4 linked regions of the Arabidopsis thaliana genome follow. The protein of the gene in region 2 purifies or fractionates together with the protein of the main gene of each other region. This does not show direct contact. Each region holds a gene or a part of one and is shown on either strand. Other genes may lie near its edges.

Region 1 (8,061 bases), on a different chromosome or scaffold from region 2:
CCTTTGCTATATGGGGCTCAAGCAGGAGATGCTGAGGCGCTTAAAGCGCTTGTAAAAGCTCAAGACATCTACCTAGACTATCAAGATGAGGAAGGCTTTTCGGCTGCAATGCTAGCGGCCATGAATGGCCACGTTGAAGCATTTAGAGTCTTAGTCTACGCAGGCGCAGACGTGAAGCTGTATAACAACTCTGGCGACACGGTAGTCTCTCTGTCTGAACAGAACGGTAACCGTGACGTGATAGAGAAGGTGATGCTCGAGTTTGCTCTCGAGAAGGACAGCAGAAACATGGCAGGCGGGTTTTATGCTTTACACTGTGCTGCACGGCGTGGAGACGTCAAAGCAGTGAAGCTTTTGAGTGGAAAAGGATACAGTCTAGACATCCCGGATGGAGATGGCTACACTCCGCTCATGCTTGCAGCCAGAGAGGGCCATGGACATATGTGTGAATACCTAATCTCCTGTGGCGCAAACTGCAATGCTAAGAACGGAAGAGGGGAAAAGCTGCTGGATCTCGCGACTGGTGATGCGGAGAAGGTGATCCGTAATGAGTTGTCTCGGAGGTTTGTGATAGAAGGAAGCAGTGTGATGAAACACACCAAGGGAGGGAAAGGAAAGAAGCATGGGAAAGGATTGAGAATGTTGGAATCAAGTGGAGTACTAAGTTGGGGAAAGTCACGGAAGAGGACTGTGGTGTGCAAGGAAGTAGAGATCGGGATGAGCCAGCGGTTCAGGAAGAACCGTAAGGGGAAAGGCGATGGAGCGGAGGAGGAAGGGATTTTCCGGGTAGTGACTACGGAAAACAAGGAGGTTCATTTTGTGTGTGAAGGTGGGTTGGTGTGTGCAGAGATGTGGGTGAGGGGAATACGACTTGTGACCAGAGAGACAATTTGTGGAAGAACTCAGACTCAGAATTAGTGTTGTTTATGTATGTATATAAAGAAGTTTTGAGAAAGGGAGCTTCATTTTGAAGGTAGTGTGCTTCTATTGTGTTGGGGATGTTTATAGTTCTTGGGTTTGGTATCTGCAGTATATTTGTGAACTGTGAAGTAGTTCGAGTTGCACATGAATGAAAACTAAAACATCTCAGTTGATTTGAGATTCTCCAAATTTGATTATTACTTTGTCCAAAACAAAGACTATTCTAAACTTACATGGATTCACAGGCTTAGATCCAGCACTAAAATTCGGCATGTGATACCTGGATATCAAAAAACAACATGAAGTTCCTGTCTCTTTCAAAAGAACAAAAGTTACAAAATGTTTAAAAAACATTACATCACACAAGAAGTCAGCACTTTTGTTTACCAGTCACCAACTCAACAAGCAATAACCAACAGAGATAAACAGAGAAGCTTTGAAGTTCTAATCACTATTGTAACCACCATCATCGTTATCCTTATCTTCGTGGTCCTTCACCACTCGTTCTATGAACTGTCTTCGAACTCCAGCCATCACAGCTTCCCTCGAGGAGTCATCGTCTCCTCCTTTGCCATCGTTAAGAACTGGCTCTGATTGACACAGAAGTAAGGCTACACCTGAAAAACCAAATCAGTTGCAAGTATGTTAGACATGTGCCTAAGACCAATCTGCTCAAAGCATGATACAATCGCCAATGTGGTCACATCAGGTCTCAGATCAGACAAAGGCTAGAGATGAGACATGACATAATCATCAAACACAAATAAGCACAGATTACATCAGACAAACAAGGGTTCATTCAAACTTACTCTCTGGGGTGCACCTACGGCCAAAGCTCTTTAAGCCTACATGAGTTCCTTTGATGGCGCCATGGTGGTACACCAGCAAGGTAGGAAGATTGCAATCAGGGTAGTTCGGAATACAATCAGTAGATATTATCTTAACGAACTTTGTTGCTGGGTATCTACTACCCAATTCGTCTAGACAACCCAATAGCAAACTACATTCTGCAACACTATCAGAGAACAACAAGAAATAAACATGAGTTAATAGTGTTTCAAGCATGTAGTAAAGAATGGCTCAACAAGAGTTCACGAATACTTGAAAAAACATACCCATCTTTATAGAGACATACAACAACCCAATCTTCAGCAGAAGCTTGCGTAACCTCCCTCACGAAATCAGAGCCCGAGATGGGAGTCACTGTTCCATATCTTTTAACTTTAGCAGCCTCTCTTAGCTCAGACAACCTCTTCTTCCTATGAAAGCATCAAAACACATTAGTGCCTGTGAATCATGAAGTGTGTTGCACAATTATGTTTAGCCTATTCATCAACATCTCAAATAAGATACTACCCTCAATTGCATTCATATCCAAAACACAAACGAATCGAGAAAAACCAGAGCTTGATAATTGCATTCCCTAGCTACATGGCAACAGATCCGAGAAAATTGAATTCACAATCCACCAAGGCAAGGATTCTCCAGGGAAAGTTAAGATTGTAAATACAAAAATCAGAATGTTCGATTCGATCTACGAACCTGTATTCTTCGAGAAAGCGATCATCGTCGAGATCTTTGTCGTCCTCAAGATCCTCAAGCTCCTCCTCTGTCTTCTTATCAAACCATGCCTGATCCTTAGGAGCTGAAGACTCGTCTTCCGCCGGAGTATACGCCGGAGGTTTGAAAGCCGGAGCCTTCTCCGGTAGATTCCCCAATTTCCGCTGGATATCATCCCATTGAGTTGACGCTCCTTCAATGTCCTTATACACGAAATGATAATCCGCCATCAAAGTATAACCACCTACGAAGCTTCAAAGAGAACCTTTGAATCTGAGAGGAGAAAAAGCAGATTGCTTTGACACTCTGTGATCGCAATCTCGTTCTTTCTCTGGAAAGACGAATGATAAAAGGCCATCCCCGAAATTGGTCTGGCTAAACCGACAATTACCATCTGGTACATTTCGAACCGGGAATATTTGGTTTAAAAGCCGGTTAGATATTGGTTTATTATTCTAGAGTAATGTATTAGACTCTTAACCGTTCGGAGGGTTCGTATATATATTATGAGAGCATGTATTTTTATGGAGAAGATCCAGAGATAATTAAACAAACAGTTTAGCAAAAGATTTTGAGAGGGAGAAAAAGGGCGATCGATTAGGGTTTTTGTGTTTTCGTCTTAGTATCGAAGATGATCGGAGCTGTGAACTCGGTGGAGGCTGTGATAACGTCAATCCAAGGTTTATCGGGGAGTCCAGAGGATTTATCTGCACTTCACGATCTTTTGAGAGGAGCTCAAGACTCGCTCCGAGCCGAACCAGGTGTTAATTTCTCTACTCTTGACCAGCTCGACGCCTCGAAGCACTCTCTCGGTTACCTGTATTTCCTGTGAGTTTTAACCTATTGGTAGATTAGGTTTTTGTTACTAGTTTGTGTATACTTTGAGGCTGATTGATGATTTTGGTTATTGGAACTTGATGTGTGTGATTAGGTCGAAGTTTAACAAGGAGAATTGTCTATGTTATTCGATTTCTGATCTTTGAGTTTTTTGTATGGTTTGATTGTTACAGTGAGGTTCTTACCTGTGGTCCAGTGTCGAAGGAGAAAGCTGCTTATGAGATACCGATAATTGCACGGTTCATCAATTCTTGTGATGCTGGGCAGATTCGTTTGGCGAGCTATAAATGTAATTTACTGACACTTAATGAGAGCTTATCTTGTCTTAATGTGTTTTCTTTTCTTTTTTCTTTGGGGAGATGGATGATGTTATTATATTGATTTTGCAGTTGTATCTCTTTGTAAGATATTGAAAGACCATGTTATAGCACTGGGAGATCCGTTGCGAGGAGTAGGGCCACTGTTAAACGCTGTTCAGAAGCTTCAGGTCTCCTCCAAGCGTTTGACTGCATTGCATCCAGATGTTCTTCAACTCTGTTTGCAGGCGAAATCGTACAAATCTGGTTTCTCCATTCTTAGTGATGATATCGTGGAGATTGACCAGCCAAGAGACTTTTTTCTCTATAGCTATTATGGGTAAGCAATTTTTCCTCATTGCTATCTGTTTTTTTCCTTTGATCAATAGATGTGTAAACACATTAAATCCATCCCTGTTGGGTTTGTTTTATAGTATTTTCTTATTCTGGTCCTTGATTACCTGGACTTTTGATAGGGGAATGATTTGTATTGGACTGAAGAGATTTCAGAAAGCATTAGAGCTTCTTTACAATGTAAGGCATTTTTATTTTTTCTTACGTGCTTTTTATACATTAAGGACTTTCGTTTTAGTTTTAACTCAACCTAAGTACTTGTATCAGGTTGTGACTGCTCCTATGCATCAAGTCAATGCCATAGCTCTTGAGGCGTACAAAAAGTACATATTGGTGTCTCTCATTCACAATGGGCAGGTAAGGCTGTGTTCTTTATATTTTACTTTCTTTGTTTATCTAGTTTTCGGTCATGGGAGCATATTGCACGAGTCTGAATCAACTGTATGTTTTTGAGAAATGTTGGTTTCACAATTACATCCTGTGTCTGATTTTAATTTCAAGCATTGGTTAATCTTATGATGTTTTTCTTATAATCTTGTTTGATTTTACTTGTGCAGTTTACTAACACTCTCCCCAAGTGTGCTTCTACAGCAGCACAGAGGAGCTTCAAGAACTATACCGGAGTAAGTTTGAACCCGATCATTAGTTGTATTTTTCATGTTTGAATGGAGTCTGGTCCCTTTTTCACTTCAGTCCAAAGATTTCAGTTGTTTTGTACTCCATACCAGCTAAATCTATTTTCAGGCTTATGATTTTATCGTTCACCCTTTTCTCAGCCTTACATTGAACTGGGTAATTGTTACAACGACGGGAAGATTGGTGAACTAGAGGCATTGGTTGTGGCCAGGAATGCAGAATTTGAAGAGGTAAATTGCCTCTAAACATTTACCATAGTTTCTGTACCAATATTAAATATTCATCCCCTTCCATAACTTGGGCGAAATGCTCTTTCAGGATAAGAACCTTGGATTAGTTAAGCAAGCAGTGTCATCCCTTTACAAGCGTAACATTCTGAGATTGACACAGAAGTACTTGACCCTGTCGCTTCAAGATATAGCCAACATGGTCCAACTTGGTAATGCTAAGGAGGCGGAAATGCATGTGCTTCAGATGGTATTGTGTCCCACACTTGATTTTTGGAAGCTAGCTTTATTAGTTTAACTGGTATGTTGGACAATATCATTTTTTTCTTTACAAACCTGCAGATCCAGGATGGTCAGATACATGCCCTTATCAACCAGAAAGACGGGATGGTCAGATTCTTGGAGGACCCTGAGCAGTACAAATCTAGTGAGATGATTGAGATCATGGATTCTGTTATACAAAGGTATGTCTACAGAACTAAGTGTTTTGATATGGTTTTTTTTTGGGAAACATTGCTTGAATGTTGAAACTCGTAATAAGGAGTGCATAATTAGCACTTGGAATCAAGTTGATATGGAGATGACTGTTTTGCCAAAGGAAAGTAGTAGCATCAAACAAGTTATGTGTTTTGATAAAAATTTCAGGACTATTGGTCTGTCGAAGAATCTCTTAGCCATGGATGAGAGCTTATCATGTGACCCTTTATACTTGGGAAAGGTAATTTAATACCATATTCCATTAGTCTTCTGTCCTGGAAACCCATGTTTCTCTGACTAAGCCGTTTGACTACTTTTTTTCAGGTAGGAAGGGAAAGACAAAGGTACGACTTTGGAGACGATTTCGATACTGTTCCTCAGAAGTTCTCCATGTAAACAGCGAAAGTCGAGAAGCACCAACAAAACTTGGCTCAAAGACAACCGTAGTGTGAATCTTGAGAATGTTACTTTTGATTTCTTTGTTCATTTTTGTTGGTTTAAAAAGTTTCATATTTTTGTCACAATTGCCAACAAGTAGAGAAGACCATTATGGACCCTCAAATCTTTTATTTCCCTTTTACTTAAAAAATTTTCCCCTTGCGCGTGTATCTCTCGTGCTAACTTACGCGAGCGTTTTATCATTTGCAAGGGTTAGAGAAGTCTCAACGGCGTCGTATCAAACTCGTTTTTAACTGCGTGTCGTTTGGGGAATCTGATAGACTCCTTGTTGTGGTGGGCTAGTTTCAGGCCCATTCTCGCTAAGCGCCACGTAGATTTTTATTTCTTTACTCATTTTTTATGTCGCATCTTCCCCATTTCGTTTTCAACCTGATTTCTCCATTTCCCTCTCTTATCCTCAATGAAAAAAATAATCTGAGAAAACGCAAAAGAAGAACGGAGCAAAATCCTCAGAATCGTCGCCGGAGAATCTTTACGTTTCGACATAATCGGAATTTTGGAATTGATAATTCCGATGGAAGGGGTTATCACATGTTTCCATACGAAATGCGTCTCTCTTCCAATTCGTTCTTTCCCACTTTCTAGGGTTTCTTCACTTCCTCGGTGGAGGAACAATAAATTGATCTCTTCATCGCGATCGGTTCATCTAAGAAGCTTGTGCGTTTCGAGCTCAGATACTTTAGTCGCGAGCGGTTCACCAAAGGAAGACGAGAGGCAGAGCAAAGTATCGAGCAAGAAGGAAGGAGATGACTCCGAGGATTTGAAGTTTTGGATGGATAAGAATGGGTTGCCACCTTGCAAGGTTATTCTCAAGGAGAGACCAGCTCATGATCAGAAGCATAAACCTATACATTATGTTGCTGCTAGTGAGGATCTTCAGGTGGTTGACTTAGCATTTCAACAGTTTTATTTGCTTATACACAGTTCCATAGGGTATTCCAAGTATCAATTTCCGGGTTTTGATGGTAAATTTTTCCTAATTACCTGTCTTTTACAGAAGGGTGATGTGGCGTTTTCAGTTCCTGATTCTCTGGTGGTTACTCTGGAAAGAGTTTTGGGAAACGAGACTATTGGTATGAGACATTCTCTATTATGTTTCCTATTCCATAAAGCTACTTCATCAGTTATGCACTATAATATTTGGATTAGACTTTGTGATTTCTCTTAGATAAGGGTGGGATTACGGGTGTTTTGATTCTTGTCTGAAGCCATATAAACTCTCTTTATCACACAGCTGAACTGTTGACGACGAACAAATTATCCGAACTGGCTTGTCTAGCTTTGTATTTGATGTATGAGAAGAAACAAGGAAAGAAATCAGTATGGTATCCCTATATAAGAGAACTTGATCGTCAAAGAGGAAGAGGTCAGTTAGATGCGGAATCCCCTTTGCTGTGGTCAGAGGCTGAGTTAGATTACCTAACTGGTAGTCCTACCAAGGTATTGCGTTAGTATATGCCGGACGTGTGATGAACTAGTATAGTGGGTTCTTAGTGGTTAACTTCTTTAACATGGTTCAGGCCGAAGTTCTTGAGAGGGCTGAAGGGATCAAAAGAGAATACAATGAGCTTGACACTGTCTGGTTCATGGCTGGATCTTTGTTTCAGGTGTTTGGCTACCTACGATTTCGGCTTCTTCTTGTCATTTTAATATATGGAATGCTAAACATCGGCCTCGGACTTACACCATTTTATTTGTGTTTTGCAGCAATACCCATTTGACATACCAACTGAAGCTTTTTCATTTGAGATTTTCAAACAGGCATTTGTTGCCATTCAGTCATGTGTGGTGCATTTACAAGTAATTTTCATTCTTTTGGGGTTTACTTTTCACAACTTGAATGTCTTTCTGTATTTGAAAGAATAGTTAGAGTAAAATATAATAATATGGTCTTACCTCTATTACTCTATCGCTGAATCTAAAGTTTAGCTTGCAGCTCATCATTTAAGCAAGTAGTCAGGTGGTGCTTGTTGCTTCTTCTAATTTAGATTGTTATGCTTCTTCTTGTACTCAGAATGTCGGTTTGGCTCGTCGGTTTGCTTTGGTTCCTCTTGGTCCTCCCTTGTTGGCCTATTGTTCCAACTGCAAGGCAATGCTTACTGCTGTTGATGGTGCTGTTGAACTCGTGGTAGATAGGCCATATAAGGCCGGGGATCCTATAGTTGTCTGGTGCGTCTGTAAGCCAAATTGCTTCCTACAGCTAGCTTTTTCATTCTGATCTATTTTTCATACTTTTGCATTTCCTCCTTTATTTGAAGGTGTGGGCCACAACCAAATGCGAAATTGCTTCTGAA
Region 2 (6,528 bases):
TTAGCTAGTGTGACCATATTACTTATACAACAACAAACTAAAAACTTGTCAAACTAAAAAAAGAAAGTAATATATCTGTTTGTAATTAGTCTAATCGTATTAAACTTTTCAGTTTTCACATAATAAAACAAAATTACAAAAATCTGATTATAAATGCATCACTTTTTGTGATTAACAATTTTTTACCCTAAAGCAATAGTAATTATTCTTAAATTTTACAATTCATCATCATTAACAAATCAAAGATAAAAAAATTTAAAATGCTCACTTTTCATTTCTTAAAAAAATTTAATCTAAATTGATAATCATTATCTACTCGGAAGAAAATAATCGAGATGACAACGGCTTGGTTCATGTGTGAGCCTCAACCACCCCCTCTTTCTCCGTATTTCCCTAACATGTCTTCACGAAAATTTTATAATGATTTATAGAAATAATTCTGTGTTGTCATATATTATTGGAATTTTCAATGCTGGAAAGTTGCAGCAGAACTTGGCGTTTTACAAACTTTGAACCAACCGAACAGGAATCTTCTTGTCATTACATGCAATGTTTATTTGATTCAACATTATTTAGATAACCGAACGAACAACTTTGGAGATACGTACCACGTTGCCACACCGCAAGATTCGACGTGTATCCTAATATTTTACTAATAAGAAAGATAAGATTCGCACAAAAGAGATCACAATTTCGTTGGAGCCCGTGATATCGTTGTCAGTATCATAAATGGTAATTCCGTACATACATGAGTTCTTATGGGTAATTTTGGTATTTTAGAAGTCAGAAAGAAGAGATTTTACCAAGTTTTTGACGTCTCTAAAAGTGCAATTTGGACCTTTGTATCTCTTTATCAATACCTAAATAAAGAATCTAGATGCAAAATTGTTCCGCATGTTCAAATTTGTGTAAGAACATAACATAACACTATTATATGCAAAGATAAAACAATACTCCATCTAGAAAGACTCACTCCAACTGTAATATTCATAATTCATTTATTGTTGCTACAGATTCTGAAGTTGAAAAGAAGTTGCGCAAAACAATAATGATACTAAAATGGCATAGTCAATATTAGTGGCTATAATTAATAACTATACGTTACCGTACAGCTAGAAACAAAACCGTAAGACTTTCACGACTTTGATTTTTCCTTGTTGATTTGACTTTTTGTTCGAATAAATATATTCAATGTATCATATGCTTCCAATATTCCAATGATTAATGTGAAAACAATTCCATTTTCACCTTCAAACTAAAAAAAAACTTGGCTGACCTATAGATTCTAAATAATTTTATTCTAGAGTCCGACTTCGTCATAGATTCTAACTATTTGATTGAAGATTTTTTTTTTTCGATTAGAACTGTTTCAAACTTTATTATATACAAGAACGAATCAAAGTATATCACTCTTTACTCTTTAGTGAAAAGGTGAAAAAATGGGAGAAGTTATTTAAATTTCTTCGGTGAATCATACATGTCCTCATAAAGATACTAAGGTACCAGAAAATGATCCCACATACATTAATTACTTTCAAAAAGTAACCACGAACGTCATTTACTTTGAAGCAACCCTACCTACCCATGAACTTAATAGTTTCATAGAATTAATCACGAGAAGACCACATATTTGGAGAGACATTATAAAAACATTACTTTTATTTGTAAACATGCTATCGAATATCTTAATCAAAAGATGGGATCCCTCTAAAGATATTGTGTGCTACTGCTCTATTAATCTTATTCGTCAATGTTTTTTTTCCCGGAAAATATTTAGGTTCGCCTTTTAGGGTGTGTAATTATAATATTTAGGTTCGCCTTAGGGTGTGCCGTTGACGGCTCAGTTTTCTCGGACTTCCGTTGAAAGGCTTCCATCGCTAGGTTTTTTGTTGATTCGGTCTTTGCCGTTTGGTAGCTCGTTTCTTGTTCCTTAAGGTGTCTTTTAAGTTAATATTTAGAATCGGTTTATCACTTCATTGATTCCAAAAGAGTAATTTCTTTTGTTGATGTCGATGGACTGATTGTTCTTTGCTTCCATGTTTTTTATCCTTTTTTTGCCATGAGACCAAAATTGTAGGATTTACTTAATTGTATCTCCTAAACCTTTTTCATTTTTCAATGAAATATTTACATTCTTAGCAGAAAAAAAAAAAAAAAATTTGTAACAAATGGAAAACTAGCTCATTGGCAAACAAAAAGAGTAAAACCAGCCCATATTAAATATGACTAACACAACCATGTACAAATTAACTCGTTGCCCTTTCCGTAAAAGTGAAACAAATAGATTTATCTTCGTGATTAACGAGAGAGAATAATCGCATCCATCAATCGTATTTTACGACTTTCGATTGTGATAGTTTAATTTATTTCAATGTATGCAGAAACATATCAACTACTGAATTATATATATTAATTAACCATTTTGTAGTCAGAATTAACTGGGATTAAATCACCCAATCCTAAATTTGATTTTGACCTAACTAATGAAAATTTAATAGTAAAAAACTATTACTTTGATTTTACATTTTAACTTTGATAGTTTTTTCTAATTTTTATTAACTAGAAACCTAATTTTTTTTCGTCAACTAGAAAACTATTCTATCTTGATATTATTTTATAATTTTACAGACAACAGAATTATATATAAATAATTTGAGTTTTTTTTTGTAGCTTTTAAAATTGCATTAATCAAATTTGTTTAATAGAGGATATAAACATGGTATTAATAAAAAAAAATTCTAAAAATTCCTCTAGTTCCACTTTTCAGCCAATTCCTCAACTGATGTATCTTAAAAAAAAAAAAAAAAATCCACAGATTCAGCTAAAAATCACTACGAAAAATGAACGATTAAAATTAACATGGGCCACATCAATTGGGCCTAAGAAGATAAAGATGGGCCACAACATTTAGGCCTAAAAGAAAATGACCTCAACATCAAAACTTCGACAGTCAGTCACTGTAACATTTTAGATCTTTCCCGAAGAAGAAAACGAAGAAGAGACGAAGAGAGAAATGAGGCCGATGCAGCTGGATATGTTATCGGAGATGGATGATGCAGGTTCTTCGATGGCCATGGACGTTGATGACCTCGAAGCCATGGAGATACTCAACGAAGGAGGACTTGTCTCAGATAACAAGCTCGCCGACGCCGATTTCTTCAACAAATTCGATGATGATTTCGATGACACCGATATCAACTAAATCCGGTTAAGTTTCCTCTTTAAGATTTCAGTTTTTTTTCCTAAACTTGATGTAATTTGTGGAGAAACCTATGTAGTAAGTGTGTAATAAGTTCTGGGATTTTTATGTTTGTGGTATGTAACAATGTTTTTCTTCATTTGGATTACTAAAACATTTGATTTGTGTGTTATTGTGCTTTGTCTGATTGTTTTTTTTGGCTCAAATTTAGAATGTTTTTTTTTTCCTTGGTTCTGGAGATGATGATGTTTTTTGGAGATTGAAACCTAATTTTCTTTAGTGTTTTGGTATTTTAGTAACTGAAAATTAGAGTCTTTGTATGTGAAGAATGTTGTGAATTTGTATGTGAAGAATGTGAAAGTTATTGATATTGGCTTAAGATAGAAACTAATTGATTCATTTGGTACCATATTCCATTGTGATTGCTTGTAATTTCAACATCTGAGGTCTCTGAAATATGTGTTGATGTGTTTCATTGTGTTGATATTCATGTGACTCACCGGGTCTAGAGAAACTTCCCGGTGAGAGATGAAATCCTCATGTAAGCTGTAACTTTCCACTAGTGATTAAGTGAACTAGGGAACTCATACTGAAGCACATATTCCTACCAACAATTTAATGGCCTAAGAGAAATAGTCTCTTGTATCTTCCATGTAACTCAGATACATCAGTCAATGATTTATATGGATATGGTATCTTGTTCCATGTTGATTTCTTGTAAATTCACCATCTCGTGGTCTCTGAATGTGTGTTGTATTGTGGTATGTGGGAGGGGGTGTATAATTCCTGTCTTGTGGTATGTAGGAGGGGGTGTATAATTCCCCTGGCCAAGTTCTGTTGTTGCATCGTGTCATATTATATTCTCTGGGCCGGTTTTGAGATGGAAATAATGTGCTTGATGTTCAACTATGGTAGAAAGGAAAAGGAGGCTAAGCATAAAGATGTCACTTGTCACTTTGTCAGTCCCTAGCAGTCTTTGTTACTTGCCTTATAGTCGTATGTATGTAGTGTAGCCAAATTTCATGAGATTTCAACATTCGATAGCAATTCATTAGATATCGGTAACCTCTTTTCAGAATCTCTTACTAATAAAAAAAAAGTTATTTGAGGCCTCTCACACTACCCACCTCAGCCTTTTAACAAATGTGTTCTCAAGTTGCCACGTCATCAACTCTCTCAAAAACTCCCAAATCTCTGCAAGCCACCATCCATGAGCCTCTTAACTTTCTTCTCCTCCCTACCTCAACCTTTATAAAATCTCCACATCTTGGTTTAATGACTAAACTCTAAAATTTTGAGTTATAAAAAAGAATGTTTGTTAAACTATGATATTAACGCTAAACATTTATTGAAAAAAAAGTTGGGTTTCGATTAATATTAAATATTTCCTATGTTTCTTAGCAAAAATAAATAAATATTTTCTCTGTTTTTTTTGTTTGATTGTTAGAAAAAAACACACAAAAGTAAATATATTAAAGTTGATTTTAAATATATTATATTTTGTGTTTTACAATTTTCTATCACTTTAAACCAATAAAATTTAATTATTTTTATTAAAGTTTACAATTCATTAATAAAAACTAATAAATATTACATAAAAATTTTAAAAAATCAATTTTTTTGAAACAATTTTTTTTTTCTTCAAAATCAACAAAATAGAACCGAAGGAATATGAATTACGCGGATTACAATTAAATTATCAATTCATCGATCACCTAATTTGAACGAGAAAAAACAAGTAAAAAAACGAAAAGTAAAATAGTAAAAAGTAAAAATACATTCTATTGGATTTGGTTCGGTATCAATAAATTATGATGTTCTTCACAAAATGCATTTATATGACGTGTTTGCTTCCTCTCCCTCCAGTTTCAAGTTGAGCATATCTGATTAGCAAAAGCGGTTGAAGGTCCTCTACTTCTCGGCCCACCGTAACAACATACACTGTCAATCCATATAGTTATCATAAACCCACACGTCAACGAAACCACTCTTTTGACTTCATCCTCTATCCAATCACACCACGCCACGTTAACACCACGACCTAGTGTTTCTGTGATCTCCACACAGAGAAAGAAGCGTTTCGGTTCTGTTTTCGCCCCAACACAAAGACTCCTTTTGTTTCTTTTCCTCAATTGGATCGAAAAAACCCCTAACTTTGACATGGAAGGAGAGATTCAAGACTGGGAAATACTTCAGAGCTCGAGATCTACCACGGAAGATGACAATTCGAGGAGCTTGGAGGAGATTGATGATGGCACGCAAGGTATGATTAGGTTTGATCATTTCTCTCTTGAGAACCAGAGTGGTTTGTCTCGTTTGGAGGCAAACGATGAAGATGGGTCTGTTCAATCGGGTAGTCCAGGATGGATCGAACCTAGCTCCGATGTTCCTTATGGTCCGAAGCATTTTAGTGAGTTATGGTCTGATTCAAGCAGTGATCGGCTTGATGATCAGAGGTTAGTGGATGATGATGTGAATAACGAGATGGGTATAGAGAGAAACGAAGTGGGTATTGTTGAATATAGTGAAAGTATAGCTCAAGACATGGATTTGATAAGCTCTGATGAGAGAAAGGAAGAATCTTTACTTCATCCAGTGGAAGGAGAAGGAAACTCTGTTTCTATTGATCCTGGTGTTAAATCTGGTGGTGGAGGAGGAGAAGAGAAAGGGTTTGTGTGGTGGAAAATTCCAATAGAGGTGTTGAAGTATTGTGTGTTGAAAATTAATCCTATTTGGTCTTTGTCCATGGCTGCAGCATTTGTGGGTTTTGTTATGTTAGGGCGTAGATTGTACAATATGAAGAAGAAGACTCGTTCCTTGCAGCTTAAGGTTCTTTTGGATGATAAGGTAACTAGCTTGGTTTATTTGATTGTTTATTGTTCTTTGAGTATGTTGATTCATGAGTCATGTGGTTACTGTATGATCTTTTGGTGTGATATGAGCTCTGCTTAGTTCAACTTTTACTGCTTAGTTAGATGTTTTATTAGTGTCAATTGTTGTTTTGATGGGGAAAATGAGAAGATCAGATCATCCCCTTGTTTGTCCTGGGACCAGTTTCTTGTTGCTAAGTAGTTTAGATGCAACCAGCGACTCGAGGTCATAGTATTCACCAACAGGCATACACTCGTACCCATTTACACTATCTTGCTAAGGGTTTTTGATATAGCACCACTGCATCGGTTGAGTTCTTGATAGATACTTTTGGCATAGAATGTGTAGTTGGTGAGAGCAGTGTTAATAGTCGTTAGAATACCACCTGGGTGATCTATTTCTTTGTCCGTCCTCTCTGTTGTTTCATCTCCTATAATGCTTAAACAACATATTTTTTA
Region 3 (8,077 bases), on a different chromosome or scaffold from region 2:
TTATCTATCACTATTAGTTTGTTTATTATAGTATCTTGCTATGTATACAAAGAGACGAGCTTTTGTTTGTCTACTGCCTCTTGAAGTTGTCTTTTAAGTTGGTCGAAAACATCTCCCTGAGTGAGCAATAGTAGAGGTATGAACTTGCTTAGTGAAGTGAACATTTGGGACTGAAACAAATAGTAAACATGACTGTGCCGTAGAATTCACAGGCAGTTTCTGTGTTAGATGGTTTAGTTTTGTTTCTAGAGGATGTGTGTGTGTGTGTGTATGTTTGAAAAGTGTATATATATCTATGTTTCAGCTAATGGCAGGCCAGCCTTAAACCTTGAAAGGCGTCTTGATCATGATGGTCATCCTCTTGCAATCACTACAGCAGTTGATGCTGTTGCAGCAAATGGAGTTACTCCTTGGAATTGGAGAGAGACTCCTGGAAACGGCAAGTCCTCAGAAAAAGCTTATATAAACTTAAGCCTCAAAGTTTAATTTTCTATAAGGCTAAAGATATGTTTTTTGAACTGTATGTTTATGTTCCAAGCATGGTGTAATATGTGTAAGAATCCACGTTTTCTCATTTTGAGGTTGCTTCACAGCCTCTGCTCCTCTGCTTGATTTATTCGTTCGGTCTCTTTATAACTGAGTAGAGCTTTTCATTTGTTTCATGTTTATACAAGCAGGTGATGATAGTCATGGTCAGCCTTTTGGTGGTAGGGTCATAACAGTGAAATTTGGTGACTATACAAGAAGAATCGGTGTTGATGGTAGTGCAGAAGCAATCAAAGAGGTAATCAGATCTGCTTTTGGGTTAAGAACTCGAAGGGCTTTTTGGTTAGAAGATGAAGATCAGATTATTCGCTGTCTTGACCGAGACATGCCCTTAGGGAACTATCTACTCCGTCTGGATGATGGTAAGATTAAATTTGCCACTATTCGTATCTTTTGAACTGTGTGTGTGTTTTTTACTGAATTGTCAGTATGCAAAACCCATCTTGCAGGACTGGCCATTAGGGTTTGCCATTATGATGAATCCAACCAATTACCAGTCCATTCAGAAGAGAAAATCTTCTACACTGAAGAAGACTACCGCGAGTTTCTGGCTCGACAGGGATGGTCAAGCCTGCAAGTTGATGGTTTTAGGAACATAGAAAACATGGATGATCTTCAACCTGGTGCTGTGTATCGAGGTGTGAGATGAGGAAATGAGATCACAAAACTTCTTCTCCAATTCTATCAACAGTTATCTGATCAGAAAACAGTCCCCTGTAGATATGATCTCATTCTCTTTATACATTTCTTCTTTTTTTCATGTACTTGCTCAAATATGAAATATCATAACTGGCATTTACCGTACAGACCAAGAAGACCTCAAAATAGATTTTTGGTCTGTTACATTTGTAAGAACAGAACATAAGAGAAGTGAATAAATTGTTCACAATCAGACGAGCGAGTGTTTGTGTGTGGTATCAGAGTCATTCTTCATCCCTTTTATTGTTCTTGTATGAAATGAGTGTGTTCGACCTTGTCAATCTGCAAAGCCAGAGAAACTTTCTGAACTTATACTACTGAGAAAACACTATAATGATTTGATTAACAAACACTAGTATCAAAGAATGTAATTCAACCACTCTCTTGATCCAGGTGAACGGTACAGCCACATCGGTATCAGTAAATGCTCCCAACACAACAAACACACCTTATCCAACCGCCAAGCCGATTAATGTCTCTCTCTCTTACATGTTTCATGGAGACAAGGCAAGCAAGTTATGCTGGAAGCAACTTGTCTCATTATAGCTTGAATCTCCCTCGTGATCTCCTTATTACTTTTCTCCTTTGAGACAGCGTGAAAAGGAGGAAGACAGAATCAAGACAGCATAAACATCACAAACATACAAATGAAACTGAGTTAATTGAAATGTTTATGCATAAATAAACCAACTTCTAGATCTTAAATATCACGTAAGTGGAATAACATTGGTTATAAGCAGATCATCAGGATAAGATTCCAATAGTTAAAGTTTTGCGTCAATAATTGTTTTTGTCGAGAAGGTTTGCATCAATTATTGCATCTTTCTTTCTATCTTTTTTTTTCTTTCTCTTAGAATCGAATTTTAACATATACTTTGATAATGATATATTGTGGTTCTTTTCACTTCACGATTACTTTAGAACATTGTGAATAATGACACTTCAAAATAAAAGGGATAAGATCAGAAATAACATATGAAAATTCCACAAAATCACTACAAATAATTCAGATAATGAAAAAAATACATGTACGTTATGTTATAAAATTCTCAAATATGGTTTTCAGCAAAAATAAATTTGGTTTTTTACTACAAAGTACAAACCAAAGTAAATTGATTTTACAAAGAAAAACGAATTAGAAAATCGTTTTTAAATCATAGAACTTATTCAGTCGAAGAGAATGGCTGACACTTGACGGGTCAGTTATAACTTATAAGTGGACTCTTGGAAATGATCATGAGTTATAGAAAGATCACAAACTTCAATTTATGATATATTGTTGACCTCAGATAATATTTTAGCTATTTATTGGATGTATAAAGATCCATATGAATACCAAAAGAAGGAGTTTTATAACCATTCACCTAACAAAAATGAAATGGAAAAAGAAAAGAGAGCAAATAAGAGGAGGAGAAGAAGAAGACTTTTGGCAAAAGCCAAGAGTCATACCTATTAGTCTATTACATAAGGTGTGATGTTTTTTTTTGCTGTCACATTCCATCTGACCTACCAAAGCTCTCAAAGTGGAGCATCTATTGTGTCTTGGTATAGAGTCACGATTAGATAAATATACAACACCATATGTACTTGTGTCAAATTATAAATATTTGAAACAGTAAGCAACCAGTAATTCGATAAAGACGTCTACAAGCATCTACACATCTAAATTGATTAAAACAAAACACCTTTAAATATAGTGTTTATGAAGTCAAATCTTCACCTTGATTATTCTAAAACAATGGTTGGAGTAATGTTGCTGAATGTTGAGTGAGAATTGACATTTGAGAGTAACTTTCACTATAATGAACTGGATGATAAAGTTGATCCGATAATAATTGAATTTACCATGAATGGTATCACAAGATACATGTATAGAAGACAGTGGTGTTACTTGTTACGCAAAATTAAAAAATGAGCATACTATTGCAGTTACTTTGGATTTATTAAGGAAAATTATGGTTTGACAACAACAATAATACAAAATCTTATGAAAATTAAATAAAAAGAAAAACAAATTTGGCTATTGGCAAAGCTCATTGGCTGTCAAAAGGAATATATACAAAATCTGCTACGTTGCAGTCTTGCGTGCACCGGCCCAGCCCATAGGATTAGAGTATTAAACCTCGAATATTCCATCAGCCTGCGCGTGAATCCAAGCGCCATTAGTTTCCCCAAATCAGTTCTTAATCCTACCCATAAACGATGGGTAAAAATGGTAAATAAGAAAGAAAGTAAAGTACAATATAGTAATATTAATTAGTGAATCTAATCTATTAGCCTTTTTCCCAAGAAAAAATCTCAGCCACTCGATCATATTTTCAATTTTCATCATCACGTTCTTCTTCTCTTTTAAATAACCCTAAATCCTCACCAAACCCAAACCCTCACTCACTATTTTCACATTCTCTTCTCTCTCGATATCATCTAAATCTCTCTCGATCTCAATTTCGCAAAATGGGTAAGCTTCTCGCTCTTGTTGATCTGCGATTCTTCGATTTATTGTTCTTTCGTTGATACTTTTTGAATCTGATCGTAATTTTGGTTTGTGTAGCTGACAAGAAGATCAGAATCGGAATCAACGGTGAGTGTTTTTCTTATCGAATTCCATAAGTTTTTTGGTTAGGTTTAAGTGATTTGGATCTGTAGAAGCTGAGTTTTGAATCTTCGTGAAGGTTTCGGAAGAATCGGTCGTTTGGTTGCTAGAGTTGTTCTTCAGAGGGATGATGTTGAGCTCGTCGCTGTTAACGATCCTTTCATCACCACCGAGTACATGGTTCGTTTCTTCTTCTCTTCGATACTAGTTCGTATCTGGATTTGAGTTAATAGTTTTATCTGAATTTTTGTTAATATACATGATGGTGTGTGCTGTTTATCATATAGATCTGAGAACTTGCTTTGTTGTATTCTTCTTCTATGTTGATTCTCTGTAAATTCGTTTTGACTGATTGTGTATATGGTATCGATTTGTTGCAGACATACATGTTTAAGTATGACAGTGTTCACGGTCAGTGGAAGCACCATGAGCTTAAGGTGAAGGATGACAAAACTCTTCTCTTCGGTGAGAAGCCAGTCACTGTTTTCGGCATCAGGTACATAATCATGGATGATTTTATTATAGTGGTTCTCTGTTATGTTATTGAGAGTTGTGAAATTCTGATTTGTGGTGTTTTATTTTTGAAGGAACCCTGAGGACATCCCATGGGGTGAGGCTGGAGCTGACTTTGTTGTTGAGTCTACTGGTGTCTTCACTGACAAAGACAAGGCTGCTGCTCACTTGAAGGTTTGAACTTGGATCTTTTATATAATAGTCGAGAACTTGTTTATTTAAGATCTATATCATCATCATATTGTTTCATTGTTATTCAGGGTGGTGCTAAAAAGGTTGTCATCTCTGCCCCAAGCAAAGATGCGCCCATGTTCGTTGTTGGTGTCAACGAGCACGAGTACAAGTCTGACCTTGACATTGTTTCCAACGCTAGTTGCACCACTAACTGCCTTGCTCCTCTTGCCAAGGTATCTTTTTCTGTTTCAACCCATAAACTTGTGTAAATTGTTCTGAATTCTGAATTTTAAGTTGAATCATTTCTCTTACAGTTGCAATCTATTTGTGCAGGTTATTAATGACAGGTTTGGCATTGTTGAGGGACTCATGACCACTGTCCACTCTATCACTGGTACGTATTTATATTTGGTTTCATTGGGTTGATTCTTGAAAATATGTATATTTGACTCAATAGTAACTGTTGTTTTGGTGATCAGCTACTCAGAAGACAGTTGATGGTCCATCAATGAAGGACTGGAGAGGTGGAAGAGCTGCTTCCTTCAACATTATTCCTAGCAGCACTGGTGCCGCCAAGGTATCATTTCAGCCTCTTATTTGTTTTAATTGATTTTGATTGAGAAATTATGTTGAATCTGATTTTTGTATCATGGTTGTTGATAGGCTGTTGGGAAAGTGTTGCCATCCCTCAATGGAAAATTGACCGGAATGTCTTTCCGTGTTCCAACCGTTGATGTCTCAGTTGTTGATCTCACCGTTAGACTTGAGAAAGCTGCAACATACGACGAAATCAAGAAGGCCATCAAGTGAGAACCATCAAGGACCCTCAGTCCTAACCATATCATATTAGAATTTATTGGGTACTTACAAAAGATTTTGGTTAAAACTTTTCAGGGAGGAATCTGAAGGCAAAATGAAGGGAATTTTGGGATACACTGAGGATGATGTTGTGTCTACCGACTTTGTTGGTGACAACAGGTATAAAAAATATTGTCTGTAGAGTGATATACAGTTTTCTGATCTTATAAATGGCGAGAGCAAATAATTGAAATATTGGGTTTGTGTTTATAGGTCAAGCATTTTCGATGCCAAGGCTGGGATTGCATTGAGCGACAAGTTTGTGAAGTTGGTGTCATGGTACGACAACGAATGGGGTTACAGTTCTCGTGTCGTTGACCTTATCGTTCACATGTCAAAGGCCTAAGCTTACACCGGCGAGAGTTTGTGTGTGGTTGAGTTCGTACTGTTCTGAATAAAAAAAAGGAGAAAAGAAAACTCGAGTTGTTATGTTTTTTCACTGATTCCATGCGCAGTCATGAGAGTTTGTAGCTTTTGTCTTTTTGCTTTCTCTTAATGTTTCCCTGCTTTATTTACTGAAACCATTGGTTTGGTTTTTTATGTTAATTAAGTTTTTAGTTCATTACTTTCTCGTGCTAACTCAAACCCAACTGGCAACTGGAACATTGAACGTCCTCTTCTCGTATTTTTAATAGTCTATTTGTACTTGAGCTTCTCCACCAAAATGGTTCTTCCTAGTCATATAGCTCACATTAGGTCAATCATCTTCGATTGAAAGCAAAAGTTACTGAGACGGATTTATTGGTTGATAAGCATCGCCACATTGTTTTTTAACGAATCAGCCAAGTTTGTTGAAACGGAGGATCAAAAATTGGAATTTAGTATTTCCTTGCAATTGCGAAGATCCAATTTTTTGGTTGACATCATTGTAAAATGATTGATATTATAATTTTATTTGCATGCTAACTTTTAAAGTTAATAGGAAACTCGTATTTTCAATAGTGACATGTTATTGCATGTGATAATACGATTATTTTATTACTTTATTAGTCGTAAATGAAGAGTAACATGCCACTATTGAAATGGTACTCATGAGATCACACGCTAGTTATTAAAGGAACATAGAAGTAAAGAAGGTTTTTATTGCAACATCAAAGAGAACAAAAACCACACATCAGTTGTAATGATACATCAAAGTTATATATATGACAATGTAACTTTTATTATTAAATAACGCATTCAAGAACACTTTTTCTGCAGTTCTTCACAAAGCACACGCATAATTCTAGAATTTCAAACCGGAACCTTTGAGTTTCTCCTCGACGATCATATCGATTTTATTTACCATTTCAGAGGTCATATAACTCTTCCAGTCACCAACTTGTCCTTTACGGAAATAAGTCTTGTAATCTACTCCACCCAAGGATCCAGTTTTGTTGATCTCCAAACTGCTTAAATTACTTAGAGAGCAAAGTTCCAAGATCTTGTCTACAGTTCCGCTATCTTCCTCTTCCTTAGTGAATGGACAATCCAAGAACTCTGCAAGTCTCTTGACCTGAGTACGAGGCTCCGCTTTCAACTCCTCGTACCTCATGAAAAGAAAATGCTTAGGATCTTCCAAGCTGCCTCGCCAATAGCTCTGTGCATGGTCCCAAAAGGGACCGTGTAGGGTAACTCCGTTGCAGAATGACTCAAATATAGCCTTGAAAGAATAATTCTCCGCTCGAATGATCTTTTCATTTTGGCTAAAATCTCCCCATTCTACTCCCTTGTTGGCATTGAGGAAACACCAAAGTGACACCAACACGTCTTTCACGTTCCTGCACACGTACACTACCTTGCAAGGAGACTTCTTCAAGGGTAGTTTAAGCGCGTCCAAGGACATATGAGTTGAGAACAATCTCGGAGATGATGATGATGATGATGATGATAAGAACTTGGTCAAGTCCGGTTTTGAGCTGTTGAGATACAGATCTAGCTCGAGGTACGGTACTATCTCATGAGGGTTATGAGATAGCAGAGGATGATGATGATCTTCTAACGAGTGTTTTGATCGTTGAACGAGTGCAAATGTGAGTGCTTTGAGCCAAGTCGTGCCCGATTTGTAGAAAGAAGCAACAACTATATCGGTTTCTTGTGGCTGAAAACTCGAGTGTATATTGGGGATTGATTGGAGAACGTCTTCGTAGTACCAATATCCTTGGTACTTGAAAAGCTTGTTCCCAAGGTAATCTATCTCCCAAGGAAGTGAAGAGATCAAAATTTTGGTTTCTTCGCTTTGATTTTCTTCTTCTTCTTCTTCTTCTTCCCTCAAGTTCCTTAGAATATCTTTCTCATCCATTTTTTTTGGTTCTTGTTTTGTTAAGTGAACATTTTAGTTGATTTTAAAGTGCTAAACTTAAATGCAGCATTTTACTAATATAAAATTACGCTCCATTATTGACCTTATATACATAGAACAAAATAATGTTATAATCTTCGACTTTTTTCTAACAAATATTAACCAATCATGTCACTAAGAAATTAAAAAATACTAGTATATAGGAATCTAGTCCATTGTATATATCGTAAACATGGACACTTCACCAACGAACATGCATGGGGTCTTTTTATAAGGTTCTTTATACCGAAACCATTGTTTTGGTTTTTATGATAATTGAGTTAGTTTTGTGGCTTTTCCGTTCAACTAAAAGTCTCATTATGTCAACTGCTATTAAACCGGCGCACATGGCATGTTTTATGAAATTAAGGTCA
Region 4 (7,761 bases), on a different chromosome or scaffold from region 2:
TACCTATGTAATTACTTACAAAAATTAAGGTTACATTTAAAATGTACTTCCCAAATAATATAGTAGGATATAAATTATAATCTACTGATCATAACGCTTAGTTTATAGTACTTATTTGTATTAGACTTTCATTGTACATGGGAAATAAAATCTTAAAACAATCTCTAAACCGTTAAACTCTAGACCAACAACGAACCCAAAAGGCCAAATGCATTTATATGAACAAGTTTGATTACTAGTTCCACCAAATTTCTACAATAAGTTTCCTTGAGATATTCCATAGTAATTTGAAGTTGATTTTTAATTGACATTTGTTGCATTATAAATGAGTAAGATACGCCATATAATTGTTGAAAGACCTAAAGCGAGTTTGAGATCATTAAGATAAAGAGGTAGTCATAAATCGTTTATCGTCAAGGTCGACGAAAAAAAGAAGTAAAGTGGTCATATTCGATTTCTGATAGGTATGTAAGAGAGAGATTAAATGCTTTCTAAAATTTTATACATGATTTGGACCTCTTATCTAATATCATTCACTCAATTTATGGACGAGAACATAACAAAAATTTAAATACTTATCGAAGAAGGAAGAAAAAATATTTAGCAACTTGGCTTTAAAGGTTATTCCACTTGTCACTATTCAAAGATTCGAGTTTTGAGCCTTTGAGTAATACCTTGGTCACCCTTATATTGCAACCACGTGGTATAAAGATTGTAACGCTTTAATTCCAATGACCCCTTATTTTGTGGACTTTTGTCATCAATTGTACCAAGTTTATAAAGATATAGAAACTGAGGGCGTATGAATTGTTTCAAGCTAGACATCAACAAAAAAAATGTTATCCACTTTCTCAAATCTATATATACTAAAGGATGTGTATTTAATCTAGTAGTTTAAATTATTTGTGTAAAATTTACAAACTTTATGTTATTTAATTATAGATTTTAAAAACTTTAATGAAATCCAATGTTATTAAACTAATAATTTAAAAATTAACTTTAAAATCAATTGTTATTGAAAACAGTTTGTGGAGTTGATTCTTATTCATCTTGAAAGATTTGAGAAAACTTCTTTAGTTACAAATACACAAATTCAAATCTCATGGTTTTAGATAGAATTTGAAAAGATTTCTATAATTTTAAGAAAGTTGATGTGATTAATTGTACAATCTTTTCAAATTCCATCTACAATCATGAGATTTGTTTTCAATAACAGTTGATTTAAAAGTAAATTTTAAAATCGTTAGTTCAATAACACTTGATTTTAATAGAGTTTTTAAAATCCATGATTGATAAATTTTACACAAATCACTTAAAATACTAGATTGAATACACTTCTACAAAATCATCAAAATCATATAACTACTTACCCTCCCCCTCCCACCCCCCTCTAAATTAACCGTCATTTTAACAAAAACTGCATGTAACAAAACTTTCAAATTTTACCGAATGTGACAAAACTTTCAAAACTGCATGTAACAAAACTTTCAAATTTTACCGAATGTGACAAAACTTTCAAATGGGACAACACTTTCAAAAACAGCAACATTTACCACATGTCACAAAACTTTCAAATTTTACTTTTATACTTTCACGTAATCTAATTCTATTACCACTTTGTTAGCAACCACTCCTTCCCCATGATCTCAAAATGTATCCTCTCCTCTAAACTTTCTTCCACTTTTTTTTTTATAAGTAATTGTAACAGTCAAACAGATGCATTAACTTCTTCTTTATTGCTCTTCTTTCTCACAAACTCAGAAGATCTTCCATTTTTTTTTTCAAAATCCAACTAAAGGCAATTATGTTTTATTTTGCCAAAATATTTTGATATATGATGTAATTTGGCATTTATTTTGTATCAGCATAGCAGGGGCGGCCATAATCTTAGTATATGCATATAATTGAGGCTGCTCTTAAATTTTAGCGTATTTATATTGTAGTGAATTCTTTGTCTTGTATAATATTTTGGATGTAGGACCTGAATGTTGGTACATGAAGACAATCTAATATTTTTAAAGCAGTTATCATTAAGCATTTAAGCAAGTAATGAAACACAACAACACGGTAGAAATTTAAGCAAGCACTTTGATGATCTCTCTCCTTAACTCAAAACATCTTTATAGTATTGTTGTGTTTCATTATTTGTTCTATGTTAATTGCTTTACAAATATTACACTGTGTCCTTGTACAAATATTTAGGTCTAATGCTAAAACTAATTTTTCTTTTGATTCGCAACACTCAAAATAAAAAACTGATCGAAAGCTAACCTTATGTTATACTCTCTGAGTTCTGACACAAACAAGAGAAGAAAAGAGAGGAAAGTGATTTAGATGCTTTGATCGATGATAGAATGAGAAGACAAAAGCTTGACTTTATAGCTAAAGATCAACGTCTATGCCATAAAGTCAAGCATAATTCACACAATATATAAGTTGAACATGCTATCAAAATAAGCTTACTACATTGGTGAAATTATGCATGTGTGGATATCTCAAGAAATATGCATGAGATGCATTACTCTTCTTTTACGCTTTGTGATTTAAGATATTGTATGCCAAATCTATGTGTTGCCAACATTGATTTCTATACCAATTGGTTGATACAATGACTGGAATTTATCCTTTGATTTGCCAACATTGATTTCTATAAAAGTTAAACAAACTAAAAATAAAAAGGGAAAAATATTTAATAAAAAATGTACAATATTAAATTTCCATAAAAATTTTATATGGTTAATGTTTTGGATTAGCATTAGTCCCCAAATCCCATATTAAGTAAATCCATTTTGAGTTTTGTTCTCGCAAACCGGTTTAACCCAAGAACCCAAAGATCTCTCTCTATTTGTTTGCCTTCTTCTTTCTTTCTGACTCAAACCCTCAAATCAATTCTCGCGATTAAGCAAAACCCTAGATTTATTCTACTCTTCGAAGTCGATTTCAATGGAAGGTTCCTCGTCAGCCATCGCGAGGAAGACATGGGAGCTAGAGAACAACATTCTCCCAGTGGAACCAACCGATTCAGCCTCCGACAGTATATTCCACTACGACGACGCTTCACAAGCCAAAATCCAGCAGGAGAAGCCATGGGCCTCCGATCCTAACTACTTCAAGCGCGTTCACATCTCAGCCCTTGCTCTTCTCAAGATGGTGGTTCACGCTCGCTCCGGTGGCACAATCGAGATCATGGGTCTTATGCAGGGTAAAACCGAGGGTGATACAATCATCGTTATGGATGCTTTTGCTTTGCCTGTTGAAGGTACTGAGACTAGGGTTAATGCTCAGTCTGATGCCTATGAGTATATGGTTGAATACTCTCAGACCAGCAAGCTGGTAAGATATCTCTTATTCATCTCTCGCTGTAGCTCCTTGTTTAATTAGCTAGTTGCTACTTGGATCCTTTATGCAAGATTTTGCGAGTGTTTGATTGATTGGTTATGACTGTAACTTTGAACTATAGGCTGGGAGGTTGGAGAACGTTGTTGGATGGTATCACTCTCACCCTGGGTATGGATGTTGGCTCTCGGGTATTGATGTTTCGACACAGATGCTTAACCAACAGTATCAGGAGCCATTCTTAGCTGTTGTTATTGATCCAACAAGGACTGTTTCGGCTGGTAAGGTTGAGATTGGGGCATTCAGAACATATCCAGAGGGACATAAGATCTCGGATGATCATGTTTCTGAGTATCAGACTATCCCTCTTAACAAGATTGAGGACTTTGGTGTACATTGCAAACAGGTATGTATAATTCTTATTTATCGATTTTAAAACTTGGGAGGGTTTTAATCATCGATCTTATGATTCATTTTTTTTGTATGTGGCAGTACTACTCATTGGACATCACTTATTTCAAGTCATCTCTCGATAGTCACCTTCTGGATCTCCTTTGGAACAAGTACTGGGTGAACACTCTTTCTTCTTCCCCACTGTTGGGCAATGGAGACTATGTTGCCGGGCAAATATCAGACTTGGGTAAATTCTTGTATATATGAAAGAGCAAGTTAATTTACTTTTCATCCAGGTCGTAGTTTGATATATCCTCTTTTCTTACCATTTAATTGTTTACATGATGAAGCTGAGAAGCTCGAGCAAGCGGAGAGTCAGCTCGCTAACTCCCGGTATGGAGGAATTGCGCCAGCCGGTCACCAAAGGAGGAAAGAGGTTTGTCTAAATGGTTGCTTTAGCAAAATTATTTGTTATGTTCTCAATGTTTATTGACTGTCTGAGATACTGGACCATGATCTTGAGCTCATACACTTGCCACTTTTCAAGCTTGTTCCTGTGTAGAAACTTTTCATTTGGCTAATTAACTGCTACTATCAACATCTAGCAACTTGGATTAAATTTGAACTTTTTATTCTTAGGCATTATGTTGACTGGATATTGACTAATAGAAACTCTACCTGCAAAACACTATGTTTTACCTTTTCTGGGTTTGAAATTTCACAATTGAGTGTATGTTTAGTCAAAAATATACAGAGCTATTAAAGTTTGAACTAGTAAAACAGGGAGACTTTGATGTATCAATTTGTCAACGAGTTGTTGCCAATAGTCTATGTCTGCTTCCTAGAGTTCTGTTATCTCTGGCTGTGTGACTCATTTTGATATTGTTTTAATCTTCTTTACATAAAAACATTTGTTTTGGAGATTACATTACCTAAGTATATGTGTTGTGGACCACTTTCAGGATGAGCCTCAACTCGCGAAGATAACTCGGGATAGTGCAAAGATAACTGTCGAGCAGGTCCATGGACTAATGTCACAGGTGAGTAAATACAATCTGACAATGCTGATCCTATTTCCCCTTGCGGTTAATGGATCCATGAAATTGACTTAAAAAGTCTTTCATCCATCAATGTGCAGGTTATCAAAGACATCTTGTTCAATTCCGCTCGTCAGTCCAAGAAGTCTGCTGACGACTCATCAGATCCAGAGCCCATGATTACATCGTGAAGTTGGTCTATTCTTTTGTTTTTTGGCTGCGGAAATTGACTATCGGTTTGACCCGGTTTATGAGGCAATGCCCATTGTTCCCTATATCTCTAGTGTAGTATCTGCTTCAGACAAAGATCTTTGGGTTATTAAATGACATTAACATAAATCGATCATTATGTTTTTGCGTTTGACTATCTTGATTTAGTGGTATTAAAAACCAAATTCCAGATACACACGTGATGTCACAGTAATCATGTGCCTGTTACGGAACCATGTGCAAAAAATTGACACAAGCATACAAATGTTCTCCAACGATTGAAGCAACAATGATTCTAGGCCCTCTTTTCTTTCTGTTCTTCATCACATGAAATTCATCAGGATGTTGTTTTTCACATTTATGTTTGAACAGCATTTCTTTTGTTAAAAGCGAACAAATTCTATTCTAAAACCGAAATTGTCATTACAACAAGACCACGATTTAAGGGTACTAAAAGCGGATTAAGATTTCTGCATTCGAACAAACTGACTACTAAACGAACATCAGGCCGAGAAAACAGTCGGTAGGAAGAGATAACGTGTGAAGTTACTTGAGTAGGATTAAGAGTAAGGTAGTAGTAATTGATAGAAGCTGCGTGGGGCTTAATCAATAATGACATCCTCACTTAACCAGCATTACTGGAAAACAAGAATAAGAAACCACATGATGATGTCAAAGACTTTTTGGGCCTTCGCGTATCCCTAAATGGGCCTATTTACGGCCTAATACTTGTCTAATGTATAGTTGGGTAGAACAAGAAGGTCCGAGAGTTCGAAGCTTAAGCCATTCTATCTTTTCTGGGGATCTAGAAGATCCAAATGATCAAAGAAGATATTATGAAAATTTATTCTGGAGATTAGTTTTGATATATTGTGATTTGTTTCACTACTTTTGTTCTTTTAGCATTTTCTCGAAATGCATTTGGATTTTAGATATTCTCTAGTCCATGTTTCAAGCTTCTTGGTTAACACAAGCTTAGGTTGTTAATTTGCACAGACACAACTGTTACTCTGCCCTGAACAAGGATCTTATCTCTACTCCTCTACTCCATCTATATCATCATGCTTGACACCAGGAAATATATGATATAAGACATTTTTAAAATGATACAATTGAGGAAGGCATGAAGCAGTGTTTGGGGGTAGTGTCTTAGACTCGATTTTCATCAACCTCAATGGTTTGATGGGAGCAGCAGATTGTATGTAATTAAGCTTTCATTAAGGGAGTTTCTTTCCACTAGTGTTTTCTTACAAGATAATGAGAGGACAGACTTGAGAGGTGACATGGATGGGCTACAACATGTTTTCTCGCAAGATGTTGACTCTAGCACACAACCACGTCTTAATGTTTTCAGCCCTAGAAGGTGTCAAACTGGACTGAGAAGCATACATTGGGAAACATGAGAACATGAGGAGATGTGAGTACAGTGTTCAGTATGAATATTTCCAGTATCCTTATGAACATACTAGATTCAAAAACTGAAAAGCATGAAGTTGTATGTGTTGCATAGTATATTCTAGGAGGTTATGAGATGTTACTCCCCAAAGTTTTTAACCACTAGTAACAGTAAACAGAGACATTTGAGTAATGCATTTTTATTTAAGAAACATAATCTGAGACTTGAGGACTTAAGTGACTAAGTCTTTAAGAATTAAGATACTAAACATGTTGATGCAACAAAAAGGCTTGCAGGGTTTTGTGCTGATCATTTTGCTTAATTATGCAATCGTTTTTTCAGTCTTTCAAACAGAAAATTGTTTTGGTGCTTGATTTTTTTTTTACATTATCCTAACAGACATTTTCTTTGTCTTGTTGATTAGCCATCCTTAGGCTAAAACAACATAAACTAATTAAGCTGATACATGCATCAGCTTGAGATTGGCACATGAGTGATTGATGATGATGATGCTCCATTAGCAATATCTCTCAAAGAGAAACCCATTCTCTCGAGAAGATGCAATTGCAAGAAGGTGAGAGATGACAAATACGACATGATCACCATCTGAAACAGGAGATCCCATTGGGATCTGCTTAAAAAGCCACCTCCAAATTCCATAAAATGGGGTAGCTTTTAGAGCAGAGGGAGAGAAACTAAGTGCTGAGATTAGCCAGGAGCATCCTTTAAACCATAGAATGGCTCTTGACCTGAGAAGAAGAAGATGATGATATGAAGCTTGATAGCTACCAAAGACTCTAAGCTTCTTTAACGGTAAGGAATAAGAGGTGGTTGAAGCGGAAAGCCTGTTACGCCTGTGGCACAACAAAACACACTGCCAACAATGTTAGTGTATGTGTATATCTTTGTTGCCTTTGGTGTACACATGTCTATTATCATATACGAACCTTGTTGCATAGAAAAGGTCGGAGGAGAGTAATGGTGAGGGTTATAAGAAGACAAGTGATGATAAAATGGTTGTGGTTGAGAGAACTGGACCCCACCATGTCCTCCACCACAAGGATAAAAAGGAGTAGCGGATGCGGCTGCTGCGGTTAGTCCACCGCCTCCGCTGTTTCTGTTTCCATAGACTCCGTATTGTCCTCCAGAAGTGCAGCCGTACATGCCGTATAAGTTCTGTAGCACATCGTATTAGTATTAGATTAAGGCTATGCTATATGAATATATGATCATGAACAAGTAAAGATTCGTTGAGACAGAGAAAGATTCTTAAGTTCGTTATACAAACACTTATGTCAGAGAAGGAAAAAGTTACGGACCGTAGGGAATGATGAGTAGTCTGGCGAGTATGGAGAGTACCTGCGAATATCAAATCAATGTTTTTTGCTT

What was found.
Region 1: the proteins of SMAP1 (region 2) and COP13 purify together in Arabidopsis thaliana (affinity purification with mass spectrometry, with the first as the bait; one study listed by BioGRID). This does not show direct contact.
Region 3: the proteins of SMAP1 (region 2) and GAPC2 purify together in Arabidopsis thaliana (affinity purification with mass spectrometry, with the first as the bait; one study listed by BioGRID). This does not show direct contact.
Region 4: the proteins of SMAP1 (region 2) and CSN5A purify together in Arabidopsis thaliana (affinity purification with mass spectrometry, with the first as the bait; one study listed by BioGRID). This does not show direct contact.

The regions. Positions count from the first base shown.
Region 1 is NC_003076.8:4,594,858-4,602,918, forward strand, and holds COP13 (Proteasome component (PCI) domain protein), read left to right. Parts: upstream 1-3,010; 5' UTR 3,011-3,112; coding exon 3,113-3,309; intron 3,310-3,491; coding exon 3,492-3,607; intron 3,608-3,707; coding exon 3,708-3,954; intron 3,955-4,090; coding exon 4,091-4,148; intron 4,149-4,235; coding exon 4,236-4,325; intron 4,326-4,525; coding exon 4,526-4,591; intron 4,592-4,744; coding exon 4,745-4,834; intron 4,835-4,922; coding exon 4,923-5,081; coding exon of another isoform or gene 5,082-5,129; exon of another isoform or gene 5,130-5,173; coding exon 5,174-5,295; intron 5,296-5,476; coding exon 5,477-5,549; intron 5,550-5,632; coding exon 5,633-5,704; 3' UTR 5,705-5,978; downstream 5,979-8,061. Other genes in the region: AT5G14230 (ankyrin), read left to right, coding at 1-918; AT5G14240 (Thioredoxin superfamily protein), read right to left, coding at 1,366-1,538, 1,731-1,936, 2,037-2,180, 2,464-2,711; AT5G14260 (Rubisco methyltransferase family protein), read left to right, coding at 6,282-6,647, 6,765-6,840, 7,002-7,207, 7,288-7,374, 7,475-7,567, 7,782-7,936, 8,026-8,061. UniProt on the Arabidopsis thaliana protein: Component of the COP9 signalosome complex (CSN), a complex involved in various cellular and developmental processes such as photomorphogenesis and auxin and jasmonate responses.
Region 2 is NC_003075.7:7,861,449-7,867,976, forward strand, and holds SMAP1 (small acidic protein 1), read left to right. Parts: upstream 1-2,945; 5' UTR 2,946-3,013; coding exon 3,014-3,202; 3' UTR 3,203-3,207; exon of another isoform or gene 3,208-3,476; intron 3,477-4,003; 3' UTR 4,004-4,261; downstream 4,262-6,528. Other genes in the region: AT4G13530 (uncharacterized protein), read left to right, coding at 5,360-6,046. UniProt on the Arabidopsis thaliana protein: Mediates responses to the synthetic auxin 2,4-dichlorophenoxyacetic acid (2,4-D). Not involved in the response to indole-3-acetic acid (IAA).
Region 3 is NC_003070.9:4,606,117-4,614,193, reverse strand, and holds GAPC2 (glyceraldehyde-3-phosphate dehydrogenase C2), read left to right. Parts: upstream 1-3,315; 5' UTR 3,316-3,699; coding exon 3,700-3,703; intron 3,704-3,796; coding exon 3,797-3,826; intron 3,827-3,917; coding exon 3,918-4,018; intron 4,019-4,218; coding exon 4,219-4,334; intron 4,335-4,425; coding exon 4,426-4,525; intron 4,526-4,611; coding exon 4,612-4,758; intron 4,759-4,858; coding exon 4,859-4,919; intron 4,920-5,004; coding exon 5,005-5,102; intron 5,103-5,188; coding exon 5,189-5,331; intron 5,332-5,419; coding exon 5,420-5,503; intron 5,504-5,596; coding exon 5,597-5,729; 3' UTR 5,730-6,117; downstream 6,118-8,077. Other genes in the region: GT-1 (Homeodomain-like superfamily protein), read left to right, coding at 305-439, 678-908, 996-1,195; ST4C (sulfotransferase 4C), read right to left, coding at 6,609-7,664. UniProt on the Arabidopsis thaliana protein: Key enzyme in glycolysis that catalyzes the first step of the pathway by converting D-glyceraldehyde 3-phosphate (G3P) into 3-phospho-D-glyceroyl phosphate. Essential for the maintenance of cellular ATP levels and carbohydrate metabolism. Binds DNA in vitro.
Region 4 is NC_003070.9:8,107,078-8,114,838, reverse strand, and holds CSN5A (COP9 signalosome 5A), read left to right. Parts: upstream 1-2,777; 5' UTR 2,778-2,943; coding exon 2,944-3,333; intron 3,334-3,460; coding exon 3,461-3,742; intron 3,743-3,828; coding exon 3,829-3,976; intron 3,977-4,079; coding exon 4,080-4,165; intron 4,166-4,691; coding exon 4,692-4,769; coding exon of another isoform or gene 4,770-4,841; exon of another isoform or gene 4,842-4,867; coding exon 4,868-4,957; 3' UTR 4,958-5,265; downstream 5,266-7,761. Other genes in the region: AT1G22910 (RNA-binding (RRM/RBD/RNP motifs) family protein), read right to left, coding at 6,890-7,226, 7,316-7,548, 7,692-7,731. UniProt on the Arabidopsis thaliana protein: Probable protease subunit of the COP9 signalosome complex (CSN), a complex involved in various cellular and developmental processes such as photomorphogenesis and auxin and jasmonate responses.